Linked DNA regions of Alligator mississippiensis. Each later gene encodes a partner of the first gene's protein in a complex. Links are inferred from orthologs where the notes say so. Each region holds a gene or a part of one and is shown in the gene's direction. Other genes may lie near its edges. The genes, in order: THOC2 and SARNP.

Region 1 (15,668 bases):
TGAGTGTGACAATGCTGCTATCGTTGTTCTCTGTTGCTGAGTAGTTTCCCACTTTATCACAAACATACAGCATTGGCAGCATATTGCCATTAGTTTCTGAAACATCCTCATATATCGCACTCTGCCTAATGATTACATCTGAAAAAAAATGACTTTATGTGGATTTATAAAGAAAACTACATAATTATAAGGATGAGCTACCAAGGATTCTTAACTCCTGTTCATTCAACATTATACTTGAAAAATATTAGGAATCTTACAAATCAGACCCTTATTTATTCTAAAATATTTTGTCATCTACAGAAGCTGTGGAAACAAGTTTTATCTTACAAGCTTCGAAAACTGCTTGATTTTTTTTCCTTATACTTTATTATATTCTATATTTTGGGCAAGAGCATTAAAGAACAGATAAGAATTTGACTCCAATTTAATAAGATTCTTAATTTTTGAAGAATTCCTGAATGAAACATAAGACTGCAGTAAACTAAAAACTCTAAATAATGCTGTTCATTAACATACAAAACTATTTATAAGGATAATATATATAATATAGAGAAATGTATAAGGACCCGTTCCTACAAATCCTTAAAAGAGTAACTGTATTTAATAATCTTCTCAGTGGGAATTTCAGTCTGTAAATTACTTGCCTCTAAATCCCTTACAAATCATTTACTAAGTATTTACCACAATGAATAATTCTAGCACATCAGCAACCACAGCAAATGCATTTCTTGTATTTTAAGGGTTGTATATGTCATCTTAGCTGGGCCATTTGGTCAGTAGATTGAAGAGCACAGGCTCTTCTAGTAAATGCATTTCAGTAGTCTTGATTTGTTAAAATGGTTTGATGAATCATTGATAACAATTTGTGTTCAGATATAACTGTTCCAAAAGAATGTAATAAACCATTTGATGAAAAGTCCAATCCTTGAAATAAATCTCTTGTAGTGGTTATTGATATCTTCACCCTTCTGCTATTTATATGCAAGAGTCTTGTAAGATTTGTAGAATCAGATTTTTGCTGCTTAAACATCAGGGTGAAACTTTATAAAACAGAATGTCATTCTTACCCCTCTAGAGGTGTATCCAGTTTTAAATTACTCCATATTTCTAAAGGTTAGATTTTCAAAATACTGATGTCTGGTAGGATTTTCAAAGCACTTAAACAGGGTAAAAATCTAATTCTTACTGCAATCAGTTAAAGATATGCCTCTAACCTCCTTATATCCTTTTGGTACTGTGAAGCACAGAAATGATGTATTATTTCACCATTGTGCACAATAAATAAATTTGTCACTAAAAGTCAGATAGCTTTCTACAGTCACCTAAAAGAAGTTAACAGCAATGGGTAAGAGAGGAAAAAGGATATATTTAAAGGAACATTCCTGGGGTACTTCACTTGATACAGGCTGCCAACTAGACATTGAGCCATTGACTACTACCCTTTGAGCCCAACGATCCAGCCATTTTTCTATCCACCTTACAGTCCATTCATCCAACCTGTTGCATCCCTATGATGCTATAATGGGTCTTATGCCAGGCAAGGAGACTAAGACACGGTTGTCCTAAACTAAAGGCAAGTTTATTGAACCCTAACAAATACAATCCTAATTAAAATTAAAGTAGCCATTTAAAAATTTTAGGTTTGTAGCTAGTCAAAGCAAATGCTCACCACCCTGAAATGTTGTGAATGCAACTTCACTGGTTGATCAGGTTGTGAAGTTTTGCCCGGGGTTCCTGGCTCCCATGTCTGATGTCAAGACAGGATCTTGGACTGATGACAGGATCTCTTCAGGAGCGTTCCAAAGAGTACGCTCTCTCACCTCTCCTTATATACCATATAACTTGCATTACTTAATATATAACATTAACGTAAGCCTTCCTCCTAATGCGTATTAATAATCTTGCTTCTGTTTGCCAAATATGGTTACCTTTAACTGGAATTTTCTATTCTGAGCAAATCTTTTCATTCTTAGGTGGGGGTAGGTTTGGCTCTGACTGTTCCTCTTTTGCCCAGGTTACATTGATTCAATTTAGTTAGCCAACTTCCTATTTCAAGTCAGGGACAGTCTTTTTCCATTTGTTCCTTTTGCTGGGTACAGGTCTTGACCACAATTCAAGCTCAGCATGCAGTTTGAGCTGAGCCCAAGCATCAAACCCAGACCTAAAGGCCTTTGGATTCCAGCAATTCCCCCCTGTGACAACTCCTCCATGGAGGGGTTATCACACCAATGTACCTCGTCTTTGTGGAGCGTATACCTCTGTTCCTCCGATATAAAGACTCATAGTGGGGGTCTAGTAGAGGTTAACACAACCTCTGTGAAACTGATAAGCTTGGCAGTATGTCCAGTCAGTTAAAACAACAACAAAGATGACCATAGCAATTTGGGTTATCTCCACAGTGGAGTGAAGCATTAGATTTAAAACTCCTTGGGCAGTAGGGCTCCATCTCAACAAAACTGCCCACCGAGAATGTCTTGGGACTTTTTCCATTACCTGCAAAACTTTTTTATTATTATGTTTAATCTGTACTATGGTTTCATGACTGCGCTGTTTAATAGAATTTACCATGGCATGCACATCGGGATGAGACAAAACTTGTTTTAACATTGGCAAATTTAAACCTAACTCAACTGGAGTAATGGTTTTATAAACCCATAGTCTAGCCCGGATACTCTGTCAGCCAACAAGGCACAAAGTATTTGAAATTACAGCTTTTGGTAGATGAAACATTACAAAAACTTTGGTTAATGGAAAATGTCATTAAATACAATCAAATTTGATCAAGCATTACATAGCGAGAATGTGTTCGTATACAAATACACCCTTTTTCAGCATGAACTACTGCAGAATGGTTTTCACTAGTCATGTCAAAAACATATTGTTGCACATCATGTTGCTCATATAGATTATGACAGGGGCAGGCAATTATTTTGGGCGTAGGGTCACTTACTGAGTTTTGGCAAGCCATCGAGGGCTGCATGATAGGCAGCCGGGGCAGATAAATATTAATTTTCTAAATTTTTTAGGGGCCCCGCAGGCCAGATAGAATGGCCTGGCGGGCCACATCTGGCCCCCAGGCTGCATTTTGCCAACCCCTGGATTATTATCTTTACACACATTCCACATCTTCATGAGTCAGGCACACTTTCATATTACTTGTTTTCCATGCACCCACTCTTTATATGCCCACTGGTGGTGGTATCGTGGATACATGACAAGTCCCTCACTAACTTGACCCACCGACACCAATGGGTATATAGTAATTTGAGAATTAGCATCAAGTGACTATATAAGTAACAATTCGTTGTGCTTCCTCATAGACAAAAGAGATCAACTTCCACAAAACAGAAAGGTCCCTTTCTGCCACAGAGGTGTGATCCCACACAGTTTTTTTCAGTTCAATAGGAAGGTGACCCTGAAAGCCTGAACAAAATATTTGGATAACTGTACTTTGACTTAGGACCTGTGCCTGGATGCAAGCTAGTGGCAGGGAGACATTGTATCAAAGTAGTGTGCCAATGGCAGTGATAATCACTTGATTATCCTCTGTAACATGAGTAGAATGTCTCCCACCAGTTCGTCTTCCTAGGCGGGATAATGATCCAACAAAGGACCTTCTAATCTTTTGTACTTCAGCAGTAGTGTAGCTCAATTTGTTTGCCAAAATTTTGATATTGGCACTATCTATAAAACAGCTACTTCAAGTCCTGCTCTAGCAACTGTGGTCAATAGCACATAACACTTTGTTCGTATGTGGACTTGGGCATTATTAGTGTTATCGGGGTTGCGCAATACCACCCGTTTCCTCTTGTACTCTCCTGCCACAACTTTGGTCTTATGAGGGGAGGAAAGAGATTGGTATGAAGTTAATTGGTACTTGCAGGATAACTTCCCCCGACATGTTAAGTCACTCCGCGTATTTTTTATTCTTTCTTTTACAGCGGCCCGAGTTGCAGGCAACAGCCTTGTCAACTTTCTCCCAGAACCGCTCGTCAGCTCTGGAGTGGATTCCTTCCCTTGGGAACTTCAAGGTAAGTCCCACCAGTGCTCCGTGGTGCTAATTAACTCATTAGCTAGTGCAGCTACAGTCTCTTTGCACTGTTGCCAGCGTAAAACCCCGGGCAACTCTTTTTTGGTTACCCTTCCAGGTTTGGCTGGGGCTGGTCAGTATTGCCTGTGCTCAGCCTCCCTCATGTTACTGAGACTTTCCCTGGTTTTCTCTTCTTCTTTTCTCACGCTGCCGCTCCCTGCCGGTAATTGATCGGTTTGCGGCTGCGCTCATTAAGCCCTGCTTCCCGATTCCCTCCTCAGGGTTGGTTTCGAGGCCTCACAGTTCATCAGCCTTCCTATAAAGAAACATAAAACAAAGAGCTCCCCCCTTTGATAGGGAAGTTATTGTAGCCTTCAATTAAAGCTAGCCATTTAATAATTTTACTTTTTGCCATTTTTTATCCCAAACATCCAATGATAGGCTAGATAGCTTATAGCTAGGGTACCAGCAGCCCTTAATGAATGTGGGAGCTGGCAATTTTTCAATCACTTCTACCCACTAGGCACCTGGAGTTCGACCGTGCCATTGATTCCTGAATATATTACCCCCTGCTGTACTAGTTGAGGTTTTTTGTCTGTTAACTTTAAATCCTGTATCTTGAATAATTTATAATAGTGCACAGATGACTTCATAAATTCTTGCATGGGTCCATGAATTAAAACATCATCTACATAGGGTATAACTGCAGTTTAGTATTGATCGGGCAACTGTTCCCACATTTCAGCTTATTTTTAGCCTACCCCTTTGGGTGCTGGCTGGCTAACATTTTTTAACATCCCCTGTTCAGTCCCAAGGCAACTCCAAAACCTGATTTATTTTAAAGGCTGCACACTGTTGCCCCTGAAGAATTACATGTAGATTAATTATTTTTTGCTTCCCTGTAAAAATAAATGTCTTGGTTTGGTAAAGGCATTTTGGTTTCCTTCTCATTGAATCCTTTAATACTATATTTGCCTTCCAGAATTGGAAAGGGGAGGTCTCATTACTTATAGGAAAAGAAGCACCTGTACTTACTAACACATCTTGCCCAGGGGTTTTTTTGTTTTTTTCCCCTTTGCACAGTATAACAAGCATTTTACTAACTCAATTGTTGGAAGGCCATGGATTTTTCCTTTTGTGTAATGTTACATGGGAAATGCATTTTAGCCTGCAAAACAAAATTAAGAAACTGCCAGGGCAGATGCCTCACTTAACATCTGGTTATAATTATTAGGGTTTTGCCCCGTTTTCAAGCCTTTGATTGTGATGTGTGGACCCATTTCAATTTGATTTCCTTTCTCTTTGACTGTATTTTAATTTGATATACAGTAGGACTAGCCTTATTTACAATTATGGCAGGTCCAGCCCTGATGGAGCACAATACATGGTTTTTTCCCCCAGTAAGCCTGGTACATGACCAGGGCACCAACTTTCCATTTGACAGGTTTTCAAGTGGCCCAAATTGTCTGTCCATCTGATTACATTTTACCTTTAAAGCTTGGGCATCTGCATTTTTTTCTGCCAGTCATGGCTTAGTAGGGAGTGATTTCATGGGCAACTGTTGTTTTTGTTGCAAAGCCCTAATCTTTGTCAATCTTTGTCTTGTTGGCTTACTACTTTTCTTAGAGCCAATTTTTAAAGTGCGGTTTGCCCTTTTCACTTGTTCTGGCCACAGGAGAAACCCTCCCCCGTTTGGCAGCAAGGGACCCCTCCCCCCCGATTGCTGACTGTCCACTGGGGGTGGTAAGTGCCCCCCCAACTCAGAAGGCACCAGGCGCCCATGGACTGAGGTGAGGCTGACTGGTCTGTAGTTCCCCAGATTCTCCTTCTGCCCTTTCTTAAAGATGGGTACTATATTTGCCTTCTTTTAATTGTCTGGGACCTCTCCCAATCATCATGAGTTTTCTAAGATGATGGCCAGTGGCTCTACAATCGTATCAACCAGCTCCCTCGGCACCCTTGTGTGCATCGCGTCCAGCCCCATGGTCTTGTACAAGTCCAGCTTTTCTGATTAGTCCCTAACTTGTTCTTTCACCACTGTTGGGTGCTCACCTTCTCCTCAAACTTTGTTACCAGGTGCAGCAGTCTGGGAGCTGATCTTGTCTATAAAGACAGAGGTAAAAAAGATATTAAGTACTTCAGCCTTTTCCACATCATCTGCCTCAGTCATTAAGGGACCCACAGTTTCCCTGATCTTCCTCTTGTTGCTGACATACTTGTAGAAACCCTTCTTGTTACCCTTCACGTCCCTTGCTAGCTGCAACTCCAATTGCACGTTGGCCTTCCTGTTTTCATCCTTGCATACCCAAGCAATACTCTTATACTCCTCCCTAGTTGTTTGTCCAAGTTCCCACTCCTTGTAAGCTTTCTTTTTGTGTTTTAGCTCACTGAAGAGTTCCCTGCTAAGCCAAGCTGTTCTTTTGCCATGCTTGCTAGTCCTTCCTGCGCATTGGGTTCCTTCAGGTTTCTTTAAAGTACAACCAACTCTCTTGGACTCCTTTCCCCATCAGACTGGCCTCCCAGGGATCCTGCCCATTAGTTCCTGAAGTGAGTCAAAGTCTGCTTTTTTGAAGTCCAGGGTCCATACACTGCTAATCTCCTTCCTTCCTTTCCTCAGGATCCTCAACTCAGTCATCTCGTGGTTGCTGCTGCCCAAATTGACATTTACTTCTACATCCCTCACCAATTTTTCTGTGTTTGTGAGCAGTAGGTCAAGAAGAGCATAGCCCCTAGTTGGCCTCTTCTGCACTTGCACCTGGATATTGTCCTCAACACTCTCCAAAAACTTCCTGAATTGCCTGCGCACTGCTGTACGCACTCCCAGCAGGTGTCGGAGTAATTGAAGTCCCCCATAAGAACCAGGGTCTGTGATTGGGAAACTTCCGCTAGCTGTTTGAAGCAAGTCTCATGCATTTCATCCTCCTTGTCAGGTGATCTATAGCAGATACCCAACGTGACATCATCCTTGTTGCTCTTCCTTCTGTCCCTAACCCAGAGACTTTCAACAGGCCTAACTTCAGTTTCATACCGGAGCTCTGAGAAATCATACAGTTCTTTTATACAAAACGCAACTCCTCCTCCTCTTCTCCCCTGCCTGTCCTTCCTGAACGGTTTGTACCCATTCGTGACAGTGCTCCAGTCATGCGCGCTTCCACCAAGTCTCTGTTATTCCAGTCAGGTCATCGTTCCATGATTGTGCAAGGATTTCAGTGAAAGTACATAGGTTATACTGCATTAGAAAAAGAATTGTGTAAGAAATCATGAAAGTGGCCACATAAAAATAAGCTTGAAATGTATGCATTTAGTTCAGCTTTTTAAAAAACTGGCACATCCACTAGTAATAAATAATTGACAAGTTTTGCATAAACAAGAATTTCCTAATGTTCAGCATTACTGTCAACTTCAGGACACTTTTGTAAAATGCAGCTGAAAAAATCTGAAAGTGACGTTTTTTCTGTTCACCAAATTGATTTCTAATTTTTCAGGCACAAATCAATGGCGTACATGACCAATCCTATTTTTGGCAAGTCATATCTAAAATCAGCAGTGACAGCACATGTAAGGAATGCAAAGAGCTCCTAGTGCAATAAAGAGAAGCACAGGCAACATTGCTGATTAATATTTACCACTTCCATGTGTTTTCCCTGGGAGTGACTGAGATTTAAAAATCAAACCTCAAAAAAACAAAGCTAAAAGTTTATTGTTTAATGCTCAGATCTTGTCTTGTCCTTCAGGGCGCTACGTTTGCAACAGGACTTCCACCATGAGTCTTTATAATTTGCAAAACAGTCATTACAGGCAACCTCCGCTTAGCGCTGTTTATTGGTTCCCGAAAAACCAAGCGTTAAGCGAAACCGAACGTATTTGATGACCCACGACCACAATTGTTTTTAATGACCCGAGATGGTGACCGTGAGCATTATAACGAAACTCACTGAGTGCTAAGTGAAATCAGGTATCAATTTAAAATGAACATTATAGTGAAATAGCACTAAGCGAAAGTGTGAAGTGGGGGTTGCCGCAAGTCATTCGATTGGGAACACGGGCCCACACAGCAGCGGTTAATCCGGTGGCGATGTGTAGGGGTGCATCCCCTGACCGGCTGCACTCTCGGTGTAGGTGACAGGCAAGCGGGGCAGGCGGGAGCGTTGGTGCTCCCCCTGCGGGCGCCAGCTCGGGAGTGGGAGCGCTGTGGCCGCTTCCTGGTCAGTGTGATCGGCCGTGGGGGACCCCCCCATTGGTGAGATTGGCCGTGGGAGGACTCCCCCCCATTGCTGACTGGTCCCTGGGGGGGCACTTGCCCCCTAACTAAGGTGGCACCAGTCGCCCATGGGCTAATTAACCTTCCCCATTAGTAGGGGGGCTATTGGGTAGTGTTAATTGAATGAATGGGATGAACAGACAAAAGAGGGAGGGGAAGGAGGTCGATGGCTCAGAAGGGGTGCCCCGAAGGGCTGGGCAGTGGGAAGGCGCACGCCGGCCACCTTGCAAGCGACCCCGAGGAGCCGGCGGACGCGGCCCGGGGAAACCGGCTGGAGCTGACCAGGGACAAGAAAACGCCCCCCCGTCCCCAGGGGGCCTCTGGCCAGAGCCGCCATCCTGGTCAAGCAGCCCGCGAGCCTAGGCCACCACGGGTCACGACAAGCCCGGGCGGCCGTCAAGCTAGTCCGTTGATCCGAAACCGGACGCCTGTACAAACTCTGCTTTTCTCGTCAAGAGAAACCGGACGCCTCTATTTTTCCTCTTGAAGAAAAATCCCCCCTCCCCCCGCTGGAAAGATCATAGCATCCAACTGAAAAGACGCCGCCGTCACTCGCATCTCGGCCGCACTTCGGAGGCGGGAACACCACGGCACGAGCGCGGGGCTCGAACCCGCGGCATTGGCGGGGAGGCGGGAGCGGCGGCTCCCGGCGTGCCCCGCGCGCGCTTCCCGGCGTGCCCCGCGGCCGGCCTCTGACCCCGGCCGTCGCTGCCCATCCGGGCTCTCGGCGCCACACGGGGAAGATGGCGGCGGCGGCGGCGGCGCTCCCTGCCGACTGGATAAAGAACTGGGAGAAAGCGGGCAAGAGCGAGTTGTGAGTGCGGGCCGCTGCCTCCCCTGCGCGGCCGGGCTCCCCGGCTCCTCTCCGCCCCTCCCCGGCAGCGGCCTCTGCCCTTGTGCCGAGGCCAGCGGAGCTGCGCGGGGCGGGGGCGCCCGGATATCGCAGCTGCGTTTCATTGTGTTTCTGAGCAGCCCCCTGGTGTCACCACCCGGACCAGACGCTCGCGGCCAAACGCGCGCGGCTCTTTTTAGGAAGCCCCTTGCCCCCCTTCCCCCTCGCCCCCGGCTTGCTTCTCTGCCCGCCCCCGCCTGCCCCCCAGGTGAGGGGAAGGGGGCGCGGCTGGCTCGCCCTGCCTCCATTTTGGAGGGGGGAGGAGTAGCCTGGTCGTCAGGTCCCTGCATTGTGCGAGTCCTGGTCCCGTCCAAACTTTTTTTGTTTTGGGGAGACCAAAAAACTAGACGAGGGAGAAATCGTAGGTCTCTGGCAGCACTCGGAGTCTAAAGCGACGCTAAAGTTCAAATTACTTTTTAGCTTCCCCTGTTTTGGATTACGTCTTGACAGCTGAATTCATAATCAGATTGAGCCGGATTATGTCCTGGGGTAGATAGGTTTGCGGCCCTTTTGTTACAGATCGCTTATGTTCTGCTGTCGGTGGAGGAGAAAAGTGGATAGAGAGATGCTTACGAATGGGTATAGCCCACCTGGTTGCATAAAAAGCGTAGATGTAGATATACTTACACTTTAAATCTGCTGTTCCCAAACTCTGACAGCACACCACCGATTTAAAACAATACAACCTTAAGTACCACCCAGCACATTTTTCAGTTCGACCTTAAGTACCACAAGCAAAGTTTCGTCGTATTTCTATAAAATACATATTATGATATAATTATAGTACATCTCTTAATGCGTACCATATAGATAAAAACGCATGTTATAATATGAAGTAAATATGAAGTAATTATAGTACATCTCTTAATGCGTACCATATATAAAAAATGCATGTTAAAATATGAAGTAATTATAGTACATCTCTTAATGCGTACCATATATAAAAAATGCATGTTAAAATATGAAGTAATTATAGTACATCTGTTAACATGTACCGCTGACGGGTTGTCTGCTATGTACCACACATTGGGAACTGCTGCTTTAAGTCATCCATTTGAGTTAGGAGCTGTTTCATATGACTCGATATTGAGCTAACTGACTTGACGTGATCATATCTTCATTATAATTATTTTAAGATTGTGCATCAGTTGAATTTTCAGCAGTTGCTGTTGAAGAGATCAGGTTAGCCCGGCCTTTGCCTACTGAAGAGCTCAAATTGTAGGCCATTTGTTTAACACACACTAGTTTGTCTTAACTTTTTAAAATGTACTCTAACCTAACCCTTGGTACTTGCAGATAACATGTATACAAGATTTTGGTCCATTCACGATGATATACCAGTTTAACTGGGACAGCGTTTAAACTGTGTTTAAATTTTGTTTGGCAACTGTGTTTAAGGACTCCTTTAAAAAAGACCCCTTAAACTGAAAGTGATCTCTGATTATCTGTGTGCTTGGGTAATGAGGTTGTACAACATAGTTTCATCCAGTGTTTTAAACGTGTGTAAAACTTTTTTTAAAGTGAAAAAAGACAATCAAATATTTGTGAAGATTCAGTGAACAATGAAAAAGTCTGGTTTTGTTTAAAGTCTTTACCAAGTGATTTCAGAAACTGCTATCATTTTGAAACACTGATTTACCACCTCTGCTAACAAAATTAATTATTGAATGTGTTGACACTCCAAAATAAAATAATACTAGAGATGAAGGATTAGTAACTCAATCAGTTTTCCAAATGCAGTTCTATTTTATTTCTATTTGAAGACATGATTTCAGCTTTAAAAGAGCTTGCAGCTTAAATTTAAGGCTCCTAAATTGCACTGCACTGCTTTTGCTCTCTTTTCAGTTAAAAGTTTGCTCGTAAAGGGTGGATGGCATGTGAAATTTTGAGGGTCAATATGATGGTTCAAAACATTCGGGAACCACTGACTGAATTAAATTAAATTGTGTAACGGTAGGAAAAAGAGAGAGGTATAACAAGGATTAACCTTACAATTCTAGCAGGTAAAGTTAAGTGACAGATCTTTAGTTTATTTTTTTAAGAGGAGGCTTTTAGTTTCCAAGCAGTTTGGAATTCTGTATTTAAACATGATGAGACCTCTCACAAGAAATGCAAAATATCAGCCTTTACTTAACGAAAAACCAGAAATGAACAAGATGACCAAGAGTTGGTCAACAGGAAGAAAAGCTGAGGGTAGACAGGACAATTTTAATTGCTTGTCTGTAGGGTAGCATATGAAGTCTGACAAAATCAGTTTGAAATGGTATGTTAGTGAAGTTATTAGTTATCTAAATATGTTACTTCATATGCTGTAAATTGGTGACCTTAATTGCTAAACTGAAGCAGGGTGAACAGTTCGTCTTGCTTAGTGTTTTGACTGTGACCACTTCTTGTTGATTCTGTCTCTTTGCTTGCTTTCCATAACTTCTAGCAAGGAGGTAGTAGTCAGTTAGTTATTCTTTGAAACTGAGTGGGGGTTGGTGCTTTCTCATATATAACATTGAATAAAAGGGTAGGGATCTGTTATGCTCTAGATCTAGAACTTATATGTTGATGGCTCTTATAACATTATCTTAGCTTCTACAGCTACAAAAACTTTTGTTTTTAACTTGTTTTGATAAGCAAAAATGCCAAATGTGACAATGGAGCGTTCTAATACGCTCCAAAATGCAGCACCTGTAAACTGTTTTGAACTATATAATCACCTATAAATTTTGTATATTTTAAAGAAAAGTAATATTAACTTTAGCACTGACATCAGGTAACTGATGATAACAATTCTGGACGTATCTGTGGATTGTCGCTATTTAGCGTAATAATATCACATGGAGTAGTCTGAGTGGTCACAGGCATCCATGTTTTAAAATTATTATTTAGAGTAGTAAAAAAAAGTAAGCTTGTTTTAATGAGCTAATTTCTGACATGTAATAGTATGTCCTCTTTACATTTTCTATGCTGTTTGGCTCAGTCCGTCTCTGGCAGTTTTCCTGTTGAGCTGACCAGTATTGTCTCCTTGAACTTTTTCATCTGTATATGTATCTTGTCTTTAAATTGTGAGCTCACTGGCTTAGAGACTGCTTTTTTGCTGCACTGTATCTGTACAGCACCTAGCACAGTGAGATCCTGCTCTGTAACTGGGACTTCTGGACATGACTCAAATAATAAATATGAATAATGGCATCTTGATTTGTTTTCTGATAGGCTACAATGTATCCTGCTCTTTCAGTGTAGCTTTAATAAGCCTTCTTTGGCCAGCAGCTTATGCATTTTGTTCATCTTCAAAATAAACTAAAATAATTTATCAACCCTTTGAGTCCAGTGTTTGAGAATCCATCCTGCAGACACCTTAAGCTTGTCTGTGACCACTCACAGGAAGAGTATGAATAGTCTTGGTTAGTGCTTTATGCACAGTACTAAGGGTCAGAAAAACAGAGTTCTGGTCCCAGCTCTGCCATTCTACGTAGAAGAGCTATGCTGTTACTGTGTTGACAAAAGGACTACCCGCAAAAGTAAAGTTACGTATCTTTGTAGGTTTAGGACCTTTCTGTTGATTATTTCCATACACAATTTTTCTTCAGGGTAGGCAGGAGTGTTTTTCAGTGGATAGGACATTGTATTTTGTGCTAAGAAGTCTGAGTCCAATTCTGCCTCTGTAGCCTTCACTTCTGTTCTTCATATTTGCCTGTAACATGGAGATAACAATTCTCTCTAAAAGACTTGAGATCTGTAGATAGAAAGTTATTTATAAGGACTGCTGACATCTTCTTACAAAGTTCATGGTTCTGTCTGTGTTCATGGTATCATTAAAGAGACTACCCTATCCCTTAGTATTGTTCCTCAGGGAGTCTGTGGGTTTTATTTTTTGAAATTACTGAGTCTTCTGATTTTTAAGTTAAATTCAAAATGTATAATACAGTTTTAAGACCTGTTGCAAATGAATGAACACATGCTTTAGTGGAATGAAAGCATGGATAGACTTTAGATTTGTTCAATGCACTACAAAAATTATAAAAAATTCCTAAGGGGGTTTAATGTTTGTGTGCACTGGTTGGAGGCAGTACCAGTAAATTGAAGTGAGACCTACTTTCCTTTTAAAGCATAAAAAAAATATTAAAATACTTGGCTTTTTGTTCCAAAAGTCTTGGCTTTAGTCCCTTCAATATTTACTTAACTTTTGTTACATAAAAACACAAGGTTAAAATTGACCTAGTTGGAGAAAACTTTTGGGTTTGAGTATTAAAAAAGATTGTTTATTCCACCTTCCCCCACCCTCACACCCACCTTTGATCTCCTGTAAACCTTATATCTCTTTCACACTACATATGTAATATGTTCTTGCAATACAGCTCTTTGGTATAGGTGTATTGGGGGGGAATTTTTTTTTGTGGGGGGGACTATTTTGGATTGTCAGTCCCTAAAAAAATAATGAGGTGCATCACTTTAATAGTGACACTAGGTCTTACATTATTTATGCTATTCAGTTATTTTAAAATAATTTACACATTTAAAAATTTCCTTAGAAAGGGCTTTTATCTGTCTTGCGTTCATTGCATTTATTTGACTTATGCTTTGTCTCCTGTGTTCCTTAACCATAAAAGTAACCAATTTTGTTGACATCATTTAAACCAGGCCGTTATGTGCAATTTTCATGGCATCTTTGCAGCTTCTGGACTCTGTTCTTGCTATATATGCCTTCTGTTGGCCCAGGCCTTGCTCCTTTCTCCATTTGCTTTCTTCTTCTTAACATTAAAAAAAGAAAAAAATACTATGGTGCTTAGTATGTTTTCATTTTAAAGTGTTCTTAAATTTAGGGTGCTCAAAGATGTCAAATTCAGGGATGTGGGTAAAACTTCACTTCTAGCATGGCTTTTTGTATGTACTGCTCTCCCTATCCAAAGAGTAGCTTTTCTGGTGTGCATTTGCTCACACTAGAAATACTTTGGTATATTTATGCTGGTAGAGCAATACTAGTGTAGATGTGACCTGGTTTGTATTTTCAGTGTCTTAGACTTTGTCTACAAGGGGAAGTTTTATTTACCACCCACTTCCCTGCTCTCTCTGGAATGCTCTTGCTCTAGTAAAAAAACCCCACGAAAATAAATTTTATTTTCATTTTAGCTCAAACTCCTCCCAGACATTGTAACCTAATTTGAATAAAAGGCTTCTCTGTTGGAGCAAGAGCCCCTACATGGTAGGATCATTCTGGTTTAAATTTACTGGTATAACTTTTCCATGTAGACAGTTCCTCAGAAGAGAGTTTTGTAGCTAGTAAGTGCTAAAAAGAAATTGTGGGATATTTTGTTTTTATTTTAACAATCTAAGTTGCTGTTGTAATAAGGAGTTCTTTGTATATAGTTTCTTTTCAATGTATAAGTCGGTTTGATGGTGGTAGAATATGATTGATGTTGAGGCTTCATGTTTATGTTGTAGTCTTTATCTGTGAATACTCTGTGAGATGGAGATTAAAAATCGGGTTTCTGCTTCTGCACACAATATTATTCTTAGTGTCCTGATTATTTGGGAAGAATTTACTGCTGCCTGTACAGAACAAATTGAAATCCTTACTCCTGAATTAGGTATGCTTTGGTCTGGTAGGACCTATTAACAGTACAGTTGTGACTTGTCATTGCTAATGTCAGAAAACCTTTGCGTGTGTGGGCTGAAGGTTTGCCCAAATGAATCCTGTTGTCAGATCTAGAATTTAATTTCATTAGCTTTAAACAGAGCATAGCAGTGAATGCATGTAGCATTTAAGAAAAACTTAAGTAGGCCTAGATTAGATTGAGATCTAATGACTTAAAAATAGTATGCTTGATGTACCATTTTCTGTAAAAATTTAAAAAACCTATTGATCTTAGTTTTATAATGAATAGAAAAAAAATCAGCAGTGGTGAAAGAATAAAATAGACCGCCCTTTCAACTACCTTTAGAGCTAGACTTCCATATATGTTGTGGATTAAGTTAGAAACAATCTATTGTATTCTGTTCTGTAACTGTAAGACAGTTTGGGGTAGACTCTCACTTTTTGCAGCAGCAAAGCTCCTACAACGTAGTTGCTCTCTGTGCCTGCTGCTTGCATTATATTTAAATATGAAACTAGCCATTTTCTTAATGCCTTACTCAGCATGTACACCTTTTGGTTGTTAAATGGTTTCCTTTGATTGATGGAACAGCTGTTTGGGCCAGATTGCAAGGCAGTGGTATACTGGTTACAAACAACATAACTGACTGGCTACTTGCTAAAGGAGCTCTCTGTTTAAAAAAAAAAAAAATAGTGTTATTGTTGTCATGATATCAGGCATTGTTAGTATTTCACCATATAGGTTTATATAAATCAACTAGAAGAATATATATAGGTTTATATAAATCAACTAAGAGAATACAGTGATAATTTCCAGTAGGAGAGAATATCATAATTATACCTTCTACTACAGAGAAATGGCATAGGACTGATTCATTGTTCACATTCCTAAAAAATGTTG
Region 2 (16,352 bases), on another chromosome or scaffold:
CACAACTTCCCCGAGGCTCCGGCCCCGCCGCGGCTCCGCCCGGGGGTGGGACGGTGGGGCCCGGAGGGCGGGCCAGGGCCGGGGGGAGCCGAGCGCAGCGCCCCTGGCCGCGCACGGAGCCGTCGGGGGGTCGGTCGGTGCCCCCGCGCCCTGGCGATGTTGTCTGGTGCAGAGGGGGCCGGTGGGGGACCGGTGTGTGAGCCCCCCCGCCTCGGGCCGGGGTCCTGGTTCGGGCTCGGCTGGGCTCCACCTCGGGAGCCGACCCTCGGGGCTGCGGGGGGTGGGACGCCTGGGCCCTCCGTGCTCCCCAGAGGGGGAAACTGAGGCAGGGAGAGCAGCGGTGGCAGGGCTTGGGGGGCGCGATCGGGGGACTGTGGGCCGGGAGTGAGGAGCCCCTCGCTTGAAGCCTTTGTGAGCCAAGTCTAGTGGTTACAGCATCAGGGGGTCAGGACACCTGCTGCCTGCCCAGTCTCTGCCCCCGGCCCTGGGCGGGCGCTTGGCCCCTGCTTTGGGCACCCGCGGCTTGCCCCACTCTGGTCTGGGAGCAGGGAGCAGATGGGGGCACAAGAGGCTGTGGATGCCCCCCGGGACCCCACTGCCCTCTCCCAGCAGGGCAACCACTGGACCCCACTCCCCTCTGGCAGCAGGGAAAACCCCAGTGTCCCCACGTCCCCTCCCCCTGTGCCAGCTCCAGCCCCCTGCCCCTAGGCCCTGCCTGCCCCTCCCCCCCTGCCTGGCACGGGCTGTTCCCAGCAGCCAGAGGAGCTGGGCAGGAGCCAGCGCCTGCTGCCAGCAGGATTTTCTCACCCTCTCCCCGGCCCCCCTCCCCCTGAGCTGGGCCAGGCCCAGGGACTCCTTCCCCCCACCCCAGTGCCTGGGCCTTGGCACCCGCCAGCATCTGGGTAACTGGAGAAGCAGAGTGTCCCTGGGCGCCGGAACCGGGGCTGGCCAGAGGCCCCGACTGCTGGGTTCCTTCAGAGCCACCCACCCGGGTCTGCTCCTTCCCCACCTTCGCGAAGGGGAAACTGAGTCACGGGCAAGGGGAAGTGGTCGCCCCAGCTCACGCAGCCATGCGGGCGATGAACCCAGGCGGCTGGGCCCTGACCCCATCCCCTCCCGGAGCAGGGGCAGAACCCAGGTGTCCGGGCTGTTAGGCCGCCAGCTGCGCCCAGCCCTCGGGGGGCGCGGAAGTGGCTTCCAAGGCCCAGGCTGGTCTGGGGTGAGCGCTGCCCGCGGCCCCGGGAACGGGACAGCTCAGACTCGGAGCTGCCAGACAGAGGTGCTTGTGTGCGCCCGGGTGCGGGGCAGAGGGCACGAGCCCTGCACTGCCGGCCTTGCACGCCCGGGGCAGCCCTGGGCCCAGGTCAGGGTCACCCCAGGGCCAGGGCCACTGTGCAGGGGCCTCCCCGCCTGGGTACAGTGGGCTGCCCTGGAGGAGGTGGGTCTGGGAGCCCAGACGCCTGGGTTCTGTCTCCCCATCCACCCCTTTGGGGGTGATTTAGGGCGGGGGGGGCTGGGAGCCCCACTGCCCTAGAAGTGGGGGGCTTGGGGGGGCTGGGACCCCGCCTGGGTTCTCCCTGTGAGGGGGGCTGGGAAACGCGGCTGTTGCCGTCTGCCCGCCCAGGTGCAGGGGCGGGGCCGTGCCTCAATTTGCCCGTGGGGGGGGGGGGGGGACACACGGTGACGTAGTTAGGAGGTGTTTCCCGCCCAACCGGCAAGGGGCGCGGGTCCTTTAAGCAGCGGGGCAGAGGCGCGGGCGGATGTGACGTCACAGTCCCCTTCCCTCGCCTCGCGAGCTCTACCCCAGAAGCGGAAGGTAGCTGTTGGCAGGGGCGGGCGGAAGGCGGAAGTACGGCGCGGAAGGGTCCCTTGGCGGAGGGGACCCCCGGGGCTGCCGCGGGCCAGCTGCTGCAGGCCGGGGCTCTTGGGTAAGGGGGGGCTCGAGCAAGGGGCTCTCAGGAAGTGGGGGGGCTCTTGGGGAAGGGGGGGCCCTTGGGCACTGGGGAGGGGGCTGCAGCTCTTGCCCCAGGCGCTGCCCGCGTGGCCCCCGGGGCCTCGTGGCCAAGAGGGATGTGGTTTCGGGCTCAGCCGGAGGCCGCGGAGGGGCTGGGAGACGGGACCCGAGCGTGGGCGGGGGGAGACCCAGGCGGAGAGGGTGGGGGTTGGCGGCTGGAGGGGACAGCCGTGGCCTCACCTGTTTCCCTTTGATCCGCAGGGGATGGGGCTGAGAATGGGAGCCCAAGGGGTCAGCTGGGCGTCGGACACGGGGGCAGCTGCTGCATGTGGATCGAGCACCCCTGCTGAGGTCATATAGAACGTGTCCCTGCCCCCCCCCCCCCATCTTCCTGGAGCCCAGCGTTCCTGAAGGCCATTCTCTGCCTGGGAAGCAGAAGAGAACACGTCTCTGCACACCTGTCTCTGAGCCAGCCCTGGCCAAAGCTTCTCCAAAGAACCATGCGCGGTTTGGGACTAGCTGGGGCTGGCAGGTCGGCTGTTATTGCTTCCAGAGCCCCTGGGGAAGATGACTTGTCTCTGGACAAACCTTCGGCCGAGGAGCAGGGGAATGGGCTGGCAGTCGGCTGTTCTCCCCTTCTGACCCCTTCAGGACCCAGCATGGTGAGCGCAGGCTACGCTGTGGATGGGAGCGACAGCTGGAATAGAAGCTGTGACCCAGCGCGGCCCTTCTCAGCTGAGGATGATGAAGACAACGTGCCCTTTCTGTGCTCTGGCAGCCCTGGCCCCCAGCTGGCCGGGTCCTGTGGCTGCTGAGGAGAGAACATGGATCCCCCCCAGGCTTTATCTGAGAAGAGGAACAGCTCATGCAGTGCGAGCTGTCAGCGGTGGGTTTCGGAGGCCTCTGGTGCAAAAGGCAGAGCTGACCCGAAGCCACAGGGCTTGTGGCGGGACCCTGAGGAGGACAATGGCACATCTGGGGCCCCCAATGACCTGTGCGATGCCGGCCGGGGACCAGGCTGCCGGAGGAGTGGAAGACGGCGGAGGCACTGCTCTGCCACCAAGGACAGGGAGGAGGGGGCAGAGAGCACCGGACGGGAAGGCAGGGCAGGGCACAAGGCACAAGCAGACGCAGAGGAGGAGCCATGCGGACAGGCGGCTCCACCTTCGCGCCGAGGAGCCGGGGCACGCAGGGGAGCTGGTCCGGCTCTGCCTGTCTTGCGCTTGGACACTTGTCGACCTGCTGGTGCTAGTCACCCACAAGTGCCGCACATACGTGGAGGCCAGGGCGCGGCTCCTATATTCCTGCTGCCCTGGCTCTGGGACCTGAGCTCAGCTCAGGCCAGTGTGAGGACGTGGGGCCAGCAGCTGTGGCGGAGGATGGTGGGCAGTGTAGCCCAAGCCGGGTGCATCCTGCATTCCTGGGGGACTAAGGCATGCCGGCTGCTGCGGATGCTTTGTACCCTGCTGCTGCCGATGCTGGGCCTGGGCCTGGCCCGTCTGCGGTTGTGCTGGTGCAGCGCCAAGGGCGCACTGCTGGCGGGGGTGGGTAAGCTAGGTGGGACCCATGGTGTGGCACGGCTGCTTGCGCACCTAGATGCACACTTCCTGCACAGGACATGGACCTTGTTCAAGGAAACCAGGACTTGCAAGTATGTGTGGGGCTGGCTGCGGAAGGGTGGAGCTCCCCTCTGGGACACCCCAAAACTCAGGACAGAGGGGCTGGGAGGAGAGGCTGGCCCTGATAGGGGTGCGTCCAGCGCAGCCGGGGACTGCCAGTCTGGCAAGGAGGTGGCCCGGCTGCTGGCCATGGCAGAGGTGCCAGAGGAGGAGCTGGACCCCTTCCAAGTGCTGGGCCTGGAGGTGACGGCCACAGATGCAGAGCTGAAGAAGGCCTATCGCCGGCTAGCTGTGCTGGTGAGAGCGACCTGGCGGGAAGGGGAGGGCATATTCAGGCAGTAGATGTCCCCTTAAGGCCACATCTTGCTGGGGTGAGAGCGCTGAGTTGGGCACTGCGGCTCTTCAGCCTCTCCCTACTGTGGCCTGGGCTGCAGAGCGAGATGTGCCAAGGCACTGACCTGCCCAGGGCCCCCTCTAAGAGCTGGAGTAGGGGCTCAGAATCTTTGTGAGGCCCACATGTGAGCCAGTCATTGGTGATGCCCCTGGGGAATGGCAGCTGCCCACATCTAGCACTAAGTGCCAGATCTGGGTGTAACTCCATGCCCATACTGGCTCTGACCATGGGATGGGGGGCTCCTGGGTTGCCCCCAAAGGGGATCTTTCACTGGCCAGCCCCCAGCCGGCAGGTGTTAGTTGTGCTTTTTGGGATCCCCATGCTTCCAGGTTCACCCTGACAAGAATGAGCACCCGCGGGCAGAGGAAGCCTTCAAGGTGCTGCGGGCAGCCTGGGATGTTGTGAGCAACCCTGAGAAGAGGAAGGAGTATGAGTTGTGAGTGTGCCGGGTGCTGCCTGCTCAGGCAAGGCAGGGAAGAGCCAGGGGTGTGGGTGGCGCAAGGCATGGTGACCCAGCAGTTGTTGAGACACCGAGCCGGCTGTTTTCCTGAGGGCTGGGGGGTGAGGAGGGACTGGGTTCCTGGCTTCTGGGTCTTCTGAGTTGCCCTGGTGGCTGCCCTGGGTCACTGCCGCCTCCAGCCAGTGTGTGTGTCGGGGGGCAGGGCTGGGACCTGACCCCTGCCTGCTCTCATGGCAGCAAGCGGATGGCGGAGAGCGAGCTGAGCCAGTCCATGAATGAGTTCTTAACCAAGCTGCAGGACGACCTAAAGGAGGCCATGAACACCATGATGTGCAGCCGGTGTCAGGGGAAGCACAAGTAGGTGCTGGTACTCCTGGGCAGGTCAGAGCCCTCCTTGCCCCCAAGAAGGGCTCTGTGTAGGGTCCCCCTGCTGCAGTCCAGCACTGCAGATCTAACTTGTGAGCGCATATCCCAGAGGACAGGGCTGGTGCTCTGATTTCCTCAGCTCCAGAGCCGGGCAACTGCTGGAGCCTGAGCAGAGTGGCTGTGCCTAGGTGCCCTGCTCTGGACAGGTTGCAGTGCCTCAGGGCACAGATTCCCAACCTGCCCCTGGGCTTGGGACCCCATCCCAGGCCTCTAGAACATTTTGAGGCAGAGGGTGCTCAGGCTGGCTGCCTAGCCTGAGGCCATCCGTGCTTTCCCGGGCTCTGAAAGAGCTGCCTATTGCCCTAGACGGTTCGAGCTGGACCGGGACCCGCTGAGTGCCCGCTACTGCGCAGACTGTGGTACGCTGCACCCTGCTGAGGAGGGTGACTTTTGGGCCGAGTCCAGCTTGCTGGGACTGAAGATCACTTACTTCGCTGTGATGGACAGGAAGGTCTATGACATCACAGGTATTGGACTCCAGCTGGGCTGCGGCTCCTCTGCCCTATCCTGTATCTCCCATGCCAGACCCAGTACCCCTCTCCTCCCCTCGCTGCATCCTCGGGACAGCTCCCACCCAGCTGATGGTGCCTCTCTGTCCCTGCAGAATGGGCTGGCTGCCAGCGTGTCCCAATCTCTCCCAACACCCACCGTGTCCCCTACCACATATCGTTCGGTTCCAGGAGCTCCAGCATGGGTGGACGCCAAAGGTGGGTGTTGCCGGCTGGTTCGTTTGCAGTGTCCCAGAGTCCAGGTGGGAGAGGGGAAGAGTGTGATTACGACCTTGGGGCTCTTTGGGGTCCCATGTGAGCACCTGCTTGCCCCTCCCCTGCCCCATGCGGCTGCTTGGGGGTGCATTAAGCAGGCCATTGGGTCCTGGCTTAGGCTGCCTGGGCAGGTGGGGATGTTCCCTATAAGCTGTTGGCTGTATTCATATGTTATCAACTGCCTGGGGGAGGGCATGCATCTAACTTAGGGACTGGTGTGGACAGAGCTGAACGTATCTGGCCCTAGGGAGCCCAGCAGTGGCCCTGCTTCTCCAATGACCGTGGAGTGGCGGAGCGGCAGGTTGGGGTGCAGCCTAGGGCTCCCCACATCAACTCTGATTCCCCTCCCCCTATGCTGGGCCTGACTGCTCTGCTCTCTCCCCAGAGCCTCCTCAAAGGGCAGCCCCGCCTCGGCCGCTGACCTGCAAGACTTCTTCAGCCGCATCTTCCAGGGCAGCCCTGGGCCGATGTCCAATGGGGGCTTCTTCAACCCATCCCAGCCACCGCCGCCGGGGGCAGCAGCTACACCCCCAAAGACAGATGGTGCTGCCCCCAAGGGGGATGCGAAGCCCAAGAGACGGAAGAAAGTGCGTCGGCCCTTCCACCGCTGAGGGAGGCAGCTTGGACTTGTCCCTGTGGGAGCGAGCGAGATTAAGCCCCTTGTTGCGAGTGGCAGGCGGGCAGCCAGGCATATCCTGGGCCCGGGGAGACTGTGCCCTTCCCCAGGCACTATAAGGGCTCTTTAAATAAAAAAAAAACCTATTATATTTTATTTTCTTTACCAACCTGCATTTTCTCTGGAGCTAGAAGCATCTGGGAGCAGCTTCCCTGGGGCCAGCACCAAAGAGCTCCGTGCACTGTTCCTTCTGTGTCCCAAGCTGCCAGGGCGTTTGTGGAATCCCTTTGTCCCAGCGGGAGCAGAGTCGGCCAGGGACCTAGAGGTGGTTTTGTATTGTCCCCAGAGATACTGGGATGTCCTGCAGGTCCTGTGCTCCCCTCTAGTGGGCATATGGGGGCACATAAATGGTTTCTTCCCCACCTGCGCCAAATAAATCTGCTTGGGGGAGCGCCAGTGTCTCCAGGAGCCCAGCTGGTGTGTGTCTGTGCTGCGGGTGGAGGAGGACAGTCCAAGGCAAACTCCCTGCTCCCCTTTGAGTGCCCGGGCAGTGAGGAAGGGCAGAGTCAGACATGGTGCCCTGGGCTGGAACCTCTACTCCCTCAAGCACCACCTGGGCTGTGGGAAGGCCTGAGGCAGAGTAGGGGCCTGGTTCCTGATATGGAAGTAGGTGAAGGTGCTGGTGTCCTAGTGCAAGTCTTGGGAGGGACTGGGGTTTGTTCAGTAGAAGTTTATAGGACCAGGTCCCAGAGGGGAACTCACTCTGCTCCCTGCTTCAGAAATTGCCTGGGTGGCAGCCAGGGACACTTGTGCCACTGGGATCCTGGTCTTGGCTGCCAGCAAATCGGTCAGAGGTGGGGGGGAGGGGCAACAGGGAGGCCAGGGTGCTGGAGCTTAGCAGTGGGGATGGCGTAGGGAAAGAACAAAGCATGCTGCTGGGCTTGAGGAGCCTGGTGGGGGTGGGGAACTTGGCCAGCAAGGGGTAGGGCAGGGCAGCTACTCTGTCCTTCCCAGAACTTTGCATGGTCTCCATTGTCCATGGAGTCTCTCTGGCAGCCTGCCCAGGCCAGCTCCCCTCCCCCTCACTGCCACTGTGTGAGCCTCATTGTTCCCTGCTCTGTGGGAGGGCCCCCCCCCCCCCCCCCAGCATGAAGCCAGATGCTGAGTTCTCTTCCCTAGGCTGCCACTGCCCCTTGCTGGCTAGCAGGGATAGTGCCTGCCTAGGAAAGGGGCACCTGATGGCCTTGCTGCCTTAGGACGGGGCTAGGAGACCGTACTCAGCCTGTGCAGGCGCTGCTCCGGCAGGGCAGAGGTTCCTTAGTAAAACAAGAGCTCTGGTGGGTCACGTGGTTGTAGCCACTTTGCTGCACTCATGGTGCTGGGGTGAACTCCAGGCTGCTGAAGTGACCGTGTCCCATTCTGGGCGCTCGTATTGAGCCCATGCAGGCGCTGAGCCCACTGCCCCGGCCCCGGCCCCTGCAGCAGCTCCATGCTAGTGTCCTGAATGGCTTTATTATGGCAGGAACATAGAAAAGGGGGGGAGGGGGGCAAGGCAACGTGGCTGTTCCACCAGCTGGGCAGTTCTCCCCTCAGCCTGTGGCTCTGGGAAGTTCAGCTGGCTCAGAGGGGCCGTGCAGACGCAGCTTACACACTCTGCTCGCTTCAGACAGCTTGGCTGCCTTGGGCTCAGAGAGGAACTTCCCCCAACAAACAGCAGCGCTGCAGGCACTAGGCAGTCCTGCTCCCTCGCTGGCCTCGTCTGCTCCCTGCGGAGTGCACGCTGCTCCAGATGTCCACATGGTCCTGCTCCCTCCCCGCAGCGGCAATGTGGAAGTTAGGCTGGGTCTCAGTACTTGTTGATGCCAAAGATGCGCACCCCGTGGAACTGAGGCAGCTTGGGGAGCAAGACACTGAGCAGCGAGGCTGTGTTAATGATGAAGTGCGCAGGGTCGTATTTGGTGTAGAAGCTGGTGAGGAGGTAACTAGGAGAGAACAGCGAGGATGGTTCAGTGCCCTGCCAGAGTCTGGCAGGGAGGCAGGACTGGCAGAGACTGGAGCCCTCCACGCGAGGCAATCATCCCAGGAGCCACGCAGCTCAGGCCGGGCCCTGCGGTGTTTCTACTTAGTGCTCAAGTGCAACCTGCTCCTTGGCACCCCTGCATGCGGCCCAAGGCCCAACAGCTCGCTGCAGACCAGGCCAGGCAGTTTTCCTGGCTCTGAGCAGAAAACACCTGCTCTTTCTGGGCATCAGAGCTGGGCCCAGTCCCACTGACCATTCCCGCGATGAGTAACTGAAGCTAAAGCCACGGCCTGACTTGCCTCAGGATCGCAGCGGCCTCTGCAAGGGGAACGTGTCCCCTGCCATGAGCCCTCCCACGCTCACGCCATGAACAGCCTCGGGCGCCGCCCCGGCCTGCAGAGCCCGGCAAGGGGACAGCACGGCAGGGAGGCCCCGCACGCAGCGGCACTCACAGGACTACTGGCGAGATGCTGAGGAACTTGCGGGAAGAGGTGCACTGGGTGCCGTAATCGATCTGCTCCCAGTGGGTGAGGAGACGGGCCTTGCCCTGGTCCGGCGTCTCGAACGGGGTCCCCTTCACGGTGTGCAGCAGCCAGTACATGGCCTGCGGGGTTCCAGCGCCAGAAGGAAAGCGGATGTAAGGGGGGGGCTGGCCCCGGGGAGAGGGACCCCCCCCCCAGCTCCTTGCCCCCGCGGCGCCTCACCAGGTTGTGGATGACGTTGGTGAGGGTCCACACCACGGGGATGCTGAAGAAGGGGATGCTGAGGAGGACGATGTGGAGGACGCCCACCAGGATCCCGTAGGCCAGCCAGATGCCGCGGCTGTTCATCACGCGCGTGTTGGGGTTCCCCTCGCTGTGCGCCACCCCCACGTTCATCCTGCACGAGGCCCCTCGGCTCTCGCCCGGTCTGGGCGCGACCGATCCCCTCCAGCGAGCTGGGAGCAGGAGAAGGGGCCGCCCTAAGCGGGGCTGCGACCCGGTGCTGCTCCCCGCCCCGGTGCTGGAGGCGGTGGGGGGGACACAGGCGCCCAGGCCTAGTGCTGCCCCCGCAGTGGGCTGGGGAAAGGACCCAGGAGTCCGGGCTCAGCTCCTCCTCCTCCCGCCTTCCCTTCCCCCCACCTGGCGGCGCCGCGCCGGTTACCGGAATCCCCCAATGCCGGGCTCCGTCTCCAGGAAGTGCCTGCGCCCGCCCCTGTGCCACTATTGGTCGTCTCCGTACCCAACCCGCCGTCCTATTGGTCCATGGGGGCGCCACTCGGGCCTACTCCCGCCCTCCCCGCATCGCGCGAGCCAGGCCAATAGCGAGCCGCGGGGTTGGGCCAATGGCGAGGCGCGAGGTTGGCGGCGCCGACCCGGTAGCAAGCGGGGGCTCCATTGGGCCGGGGAGCCGGGACGGGGCGGGGCGGGCGACGGCGAGCTGAGGGGGCGACAAGATGGCGGCGGAGACCGTGGAGCTGCACAAGCTGAAGGTGCGGGCGGAGTGGGGGGATCCGGGCTGGCTCAGGGGAATCCATGTTTGAAGCTTGTTCGCGACCCTTTCGTCTGTGTCGTGTCCGGGGGCGGGCGCCAGCGCGGAGAGGACGAGGACACGTTGGAGAGAGTCCAGGGAAGAGCAGCCTTCACCTCCCTGCGGGGGGGGATGGAGCTGGGCTGGCCTCAGTGGTGGCAGATGGCGGAGGGGGGAAGTTGAGCCGAGGCCAGTTTCCCGCAGCGCTCGTGGACCTTTGTTCTCGCGGCCCCCGTGGGCTCCTCTGCGTGGGCTTCCCAAAAGCCGACTCTTGCTGGCTTGTCTGGGGACCGGCCCGGTTTGGGAAGGGCCTGATTATAGGGAGGGTAAACGCTGGTTGCTGCGAGCAAGGGACCTGTGCCAAGGTGTGCAGAGGCGTTCGGTGCATCCCTGGTCGGAGAATAAGGACGTTTCCCCGGATACGTCACGATTGCGGACGCGCCCAAAGACCAGAGGGGATGTGGTACTTTGGCAGTGGCTAGCTCTGAATGTGAAACGGTCTTGCAGAGAGCGAGAGGAAGGCCCTGGGGCCTGCTTGAGACCCCGAAAATTAGACTGGCTAAAGGGTCCTCTGGGGAGTGCTGTGCTGAGCCCTGGCGGGTGGACTCGGTGATCTGAGGGCTGTCTTTCTTTTCGCGTATCCTGTACGGTGGAATAAATAATATCTCCTAGAGACGTGGCCTTTCACCTTAATCTGTGTGGACTGTGACGTAGAGGGACGTATCTTTATGTCATTGGGTGAAGCCAAGTCCCAGAGGGATGAAGTATCTTGTCCGAGGCGCTGACAAATCACTGACACGGCGGAGGGCAAGTTTCATAAACCTGCTTTCCGGCTCCACCTCGGCGCAGGCCCCCCAGAGCCTCTGCCATGCCATGCCATGCTGTCTCCTGTGAAGTTTCACCATCTTCGTATTTTGCAATTGCTCATTAACACAGTGCCTAGGTGCTGCAAGAGGTAATTGCCAGGTCTTCAGAGCTTGGTTTTTTTTTGGCATGACCGTGGAGGTTAGTTACCCTTAGCAGGTGTGATGAAAGGTGCTTTGTTACACACAGCAAGCAAATGTAACTCCTCTGCCAGTTTTGTTTCACGTGGGGTGTGAACTCTGCTTTCAGGACAGCATAAAACCCACAGGATGCAAAGCGGGCCTGTCATGCTGAGAGACAGCGTGGAATCAGGTCCTCTACTTACAGTAAATCCTTGGTCTTCCTTGAGCTCCTGCTCAACTTTTGGGGTCTGAGGAGTTTTATTAATGGAGGGAAGTGAAGGCACAGGAAGAATACTGGAAATTGAGAGATGGAGAAATTGTATGAGATGTTCTCACTTCTGTCTAGGGCAGCACTGTGCCATGGCCACTTGGTTTTGTGGATTCCTGGTTGTTGGTGGGGGGGAAGGGGAGCGGGTTAAGTAAGTGTTATAGCCATGTAGAGGGGTTTGGGTTGTAGCCGTGTTGATCTAAGGACATAGGCAGACAAGGTTCCTTGGGTGAATTTGATATCTTTTATTAGACCACCCCAAATGGTTGGAGAATAGTTATTAAGCAAGCTTTCGGGTTCAAAAACCCTTCGTCAGGCTAAGGAAGCTTCAGCAGTTGGTGACTGCCATGTAGAGAGAGTTATCAAAGCTAGGAGGAATCCAGGCAACCAGGCTTGTAATCCCCCTGCTTTGACCAGCTGGCCGTGTTGCTATTCCTTTGTCAGTGACCATGCCCTTGACGTCCCTCTTTGGCTTTGGGTCTAGCCCGTTCATGGCTCACATGGGTGACGTGTACTAACAGGAAGGCTGTTCTCTCATGCAGCTTGCTGAACTGAAACAGGAATGTACAGCCCGTGGCCTGGAGGCAAAAGGAAACAAACAGGACCTCATAAACAGACTCCAGGCATACCTTGAGGAGCACGGTAGGTCACGCTTTCTGCTGGAGTCAACTTTCCTGGGCTTGGGCTTGCTGTAAGAATGCTGACTGGGTGTCTCAGGGCTGCAGCCTCTGAGGAGAGAGCTCTTTGGCATCGTGGTCCTTGGAGCATTCCTGCTGTTGGGTTCCATCCAGCAGGTGTTAATCAGACAGAGCTCCCATACAGTGATGGTACTGTTTGGAGAGCCAGAGCAAGACTGGGCCCATCTTAAGGTTAGGCTCTTTTTTTTTTTTTCCTTTGCTCCCAGTGCTACTGCCTTAAACAGCACTTTCTAGAGTGCTGCAGTGTGCATGTCTTATATGTAATCAGGTATCACAGTGCTACCTGAAAGAAGAACCTGAATAGAAACCTCTCAGCACTGATTTCTTGGTGTGTGTGGAGAACACCAGCATTCTAGGAGTCTGTATCCAAGTTCTATTTCAGGCCAGCCTGTTGATTTGCAGTAGCAATTATCTGTGGGATGTTTTTTAAATTCTTCTAGCTGAAGAAGAGGCTAATGAAGAAGATGTCTTGGGAGAAGAAACAGAGGTAAGTCCTATTACCACAAGATTATCACGCTATCAGTGTCTTTGGGCATAGCTCTGTTCTAATTTGCCTGATGTTGTCTGGTCTCTGGCACTGTGATCAGGTAATGGATCTGCTTCACTGTTGTGTGGAACTTTCTGGTGTACTTTACATTGTTACTAGCAGGGCTCTTTGGAAGGCATAATCTTAGAACCTGGCTCGTGTTACAGAATTGGACACATTTCCTAACCAGCCTTGGGTAGGAAGTAAATGGGCATATCCCCAGGCCACCATCACCCCTGGACAGCAAATTTTATCAGCTGGAAAACATGGAAATGAGTGATTGCACCTGGCAGTGCTAATTCTCTTTCTCCTTAGGGCCAGGCTCCTTCCAAGTTGGTGAAGGCCCACCCTTGTGGGTTAACATTAAGTACTTAAAGCTTTCTGCCCATCTTTCCTGTTTCCAGCAGAAAAATATTCTAGTAGAAGGTTAGAATGAGATTTGCAGACGTGGCGCTGGGGTTTGGTCATATGTATCATTTGGTTCCAACTCTCTCCTTTGAGAAGGTGCTCATCCCAACTGCATTTTCCACGTACAGCAAAGCTTTATCTGGCACCCATGAGGAATGAGGGGTGCCGGATAACCAAACATGCCTGTTATCTGAGAGGCTGGTTACTCTGTCCCACCCCTCCTGCTGTGTTCGGTGTGCACTGCCCCTGCTGCCGCGTCAGTGTGCCGGGCGACAGGGAGGGGTGGCAGCGCAGACTGCTTTGCCCTGGGCTGTGGGTGCTCGGTGAAACCAGAAATGCCATGGTGGGCACTTCCAGTTTCACTTTTACCTCACAAACCGGCATGCCGTTTAATAGAGCAAAATGGTTAATAGAGCGTGACAGTTTGTAAGGTGCTAGATAACGCGGGTTTTGCTGTACTCAGGAAGCTGGAGGCTTCTTGTGTGGCAATAGCGTTGCAAAAACTAATATCACTCAGTTTGTTTATCTCCTAGTTCCAAAGCCTGATAAGACAAAAGATACTGCAGACACAAAATTTTGGCAGTTGTCTTCAAGCCCAACAAAATCTCTGGCCTGTGGCATCTTGGCTAAAATTCAGAACTGATGCAAGGAGGTGTGGCTCTAGTATTTCACCTGCATACACCAGCAGCAGACCTGATGCCAGTCATTGTACATATGTTGTGTGTTTAGCTAGTAAAACGCCTTGAAACGTAAGAAACCCAGTGAGAGACTTAAATGCTGGGTTCTTAACAGTTGGATTGCTAATATTAAAGTAAGTCTGTCACCCTGCAAACACTGAAGCAACCATGTAACTCTACCTATCAGCAGTTTCCAGGATGACTGCAGAATCAGGCCCTGAAGTTTTACAGTTTACATATCCTTAAGTCTGAGCCAGTCATAAAGAGAAGCCAGGGATATATCTCAGCCTTTTCTTTCATTAACTCCTACGCTTGTTATTTCATAGCTGTTAAATATAAGCATAGTCCAAAATACAAAATGTGGGCATTTAAAACCACCCGGAAGATCATTTCAGGTGGCTCCAGTGATTTTACTGCACGTGAAACTAAGTCTTGTTATTAATAGAGCTTTACAGTTCTCCAATGTAACCATCCTCATAGTGTGCCACCACATAGCTCTGTTGTCCAAAGTGTGCTCTCATATTTGCATGTGGGTTGGTGGGGCATGCCCAGATGGAAGGCTGTATTGCACTTTCCAAGGAGCCAGAGCTTAGGTGTCCTGATCTGATTTCTGGACAACAGCCCTCTGTAACAAATGCTCCTCGGAGCATTTGCTTCAGCTCTTCCAGCCAGTTGCAGCAGAAGACAGGAGTTCCAGCAACAAACTGCCCTGCTAGAAGCATGCTAATATTAGAAGGGTTTACATTCCCCTGTAGCTTGCTAGATCCCCAGGGCCTGTCTCTCCCTCAAGGAACAGGGGAAAGCATGTTGGCTTTGATGCTGAGATGACGAGGGAGCAATGTGACTGATGGGCCGTGGGCCTGTTGAATCCAGTATGGAATATGGAAGAGCTTGTTCCCATGCAGTTTTGCTTTTAAACCCATTAAGCTTCACCAGTCTTGACTGCCCCCATACAGCGCCTCTGGCACTTACTCAGCTGCTTGGAATACTAATCTGACTCACCATCTCAACTCATTGAATTGCAGGAAGAAGAGCCGAAGCCAGTAGAACCTCCTGTCAAAGTAGAAGAGCCTCCTGTAAAAGAAGCTGATGTGTAACTATCCATTTTGTGTAGGCTGAAATGGGCTGGGGTGGCTGTAGCTCAGGAAGAGAGTGCTTAGGAAGGGAGCTGGTAGCATTTTGTGGACCTTAACCCATTCCCTTCCGTGTGCGTCCAAGGAGCCTACATCACAGTAACCCAGTAGGACAGATCTGTGGCTTGGGGCAATAAATGTCAGTTGTGAAAAGCCTGGGGCACCTGGGAATTGCAGGCTCACCTCCAGGCAGGGCGGTTTAGCCTTGGGACCCCTGGCAGAGATGTGGCTTCCCTGCATTTCGCTCTGTGTGGATATTCAGGAGATTTTCGAAACAGAGGTCCCTTCTGCTCTGCAGTTAGCTAACATCCTTTGCAAGAGTGGGGTTCTCTTCCCAGATCCTTGGCCCTCGCATCCCTGCTGTACTGGCTACTGCCATTTATCTCCAAGCAGGCTGCATTTCAGGGATGCTGGGCTAGGTTTGTGAAGGATTTGGGGATGCCAGTGCTAAGCATGAGTGATCTGTCTATTTCTGACTTGGCTTGGTGCTCCTCCTCCCATCACCCTGCATCTCTTTCCCCTTTTGCTCATGTGACCCATGGTTCTGGCAAGAGAGAAGGAGCCAGCTAATAAATTGTTTTTCTCGCTTGTGCATTGTCATGGTGCTTCTCCCACAACCTTGTGCTAGTATCCAGCCTCACAAGCACTTGCTGTTGCGGTTCTCAGTACAGGTTTCTTACCAATCCACATCCATAGCTGTTGGCAGCTCAGGGTGGTGATTTAGCAACTGCTGCAGATACAGCATGCATGGAGATTTTACTGCCAGAAAGTGCAAAGGAATTGAATCCTCGGGTTTTGATCTTTGCAACGATGTATCTTGTCTGTGCAGAGAGATGAATTGAAAGTGGTGCTCTACCTGGTGAACCCTGACAACTAAGCTGAGTAGGAATCAGTAGTGCTTTCACCTTTCTTTTCTGACCCTGGTCCATCCCTGGAAGGCAGAGCAGGGAAACCCTTCCTTGTTCTGTTGGATACAGAGCAGGGCCGCAGAGGGACAGTGGCTTGTGCGAGGCTGTCAGTGGAGGTAGTGTTGCTGCGGCAGCTTGGACTTGGATTCTTTCTCTCAGTCTCCTGCTCAGCTGATCTCACATGTTTGAGTATGTGTTGCCAGTTACTGCATGCAGGTTGTGAGTAGGAGCTTCTTGGGCACCTCTGGTTGACTGGGAAATGGACAAAGTCACTTTTGTTTTGCACTGGGATGAAATGCCGTGGGGATGAAATGTGCTTCTCTGCTGAGGGCCAAAACAAAGCCTCAGTAAAGCTATCAGAATAGTGCTTGAGCAATTTGTAGCCCTCGTGCTGGCCCTCTGCAGGGGGTGGGTGTCACCCTGACTGCCCACTTGCATGTACACACACACACAAAGGCTGTTGGTGTTGCCTGATGGAAGCTGACGTAGGGGGGATGAATGAAGTGCTTCTGCATTGAAAGTATAGCTCTGTGTTGCCTTGTGTGGGTAATGTAGTTCAGATGGCTCCTTTTTCTTAGACCCCGTCTTCTCTGGCCCATCTGGGTGTAAGTTTTGTAACGAGATGGATGATCCTGGTGATTAATATTCAGCTAAACATAAGCCACGTCCTAATGTCTTGGGCTGCCTGGGACCTCGGCCTCTGCGTGGAATAGCTGTATAAGGTGCCAGCATGAGTGCTGTTGCCGACATTTGAAAGCCAGGAGGGAAAAATAAACTTTATTTGATTAGGCAGTAACTTTCCTCGGCAGAACCGCTTCAATCAGACAGGGATTCAGTACTTGATTTTTGGACAGCAGGGGGCGCCTTTTGCCTGTGTCCGAAACAGAGTTGCAGAGAGGGCCGGAGGGGTAACAATTCCTGGTTCCTGTTCAGAATTGCTTCCTGTGAAAGTGTTGTTAAACCATTACTACCTTTCAGGGCATAAA

What was found.
Region 2: THOC2 (region 1) and SARNP share a complex: the UniProt entries of both Homo sapiens proteins name them as parts of the transcription/export (TREX) complex. The link is inferred for Alligator mississippiensis from reciprocal best matches to the Homo sapiens genes THOC2 and SARNP.

What each region holds. Positions count from the first base shown.
Region 1 is NC_081831.1:71,262,872-71,278,539, forward strand, and holds the start of THOC2 (THO complex subunit 2), read left to right. Parts: upstream 1-9,000; 5' UTR 9,001-9,037; coding exon 9,038-9,108; intron 9,109-15,668. UniProt on the Homo sapiens protein: Component of the THO subcomplex of the TREX complex which is thought to couple mRNA transcription, processing and nuclear export, and which specifically associates with spliced mRNA and not with unspliced pre-mRNA.
Region 2 is NC_081838.1:6,883,694-6,900,045, reverse strand, and holds the start of SARNP (SAP domain-containing ribonucleoprotein), read left to right. Parts: upstream 1-9,631; 5' UTR 9,632-9,688; coding exon 9,689-9,724; intron 9,725-11,558; coding exon 11,559-11,658; intron 11,659-12,154; coding exon 12,155-12,201; intron 12,202-14,350; coding exon 14,351-14,418; intron 14,419-16,352. Other genes in the region: DNAJC14 (dnaJ homolog subfamily C member 14), read left to right, coding at 2,779-3,870, 4,297-4,403, 4,665-4,784, 5,160-5,320, 5,458-5,560, 6,003-6,228; ORMDL2 (ORM1-like protein 2), read right to left, coding at 8,080-8,215, 8,706-8,857, 8,958-9,131. UniProt on the Homo sapiens protein: Binds both single-stranded and double-stranded DNA with higher affinity for the single-stranded form. Specifically binds to scaffold/matrix attachment region DNA. Also binds single-stranded RNA. Enhances RNA unwinding activity of DDX39A.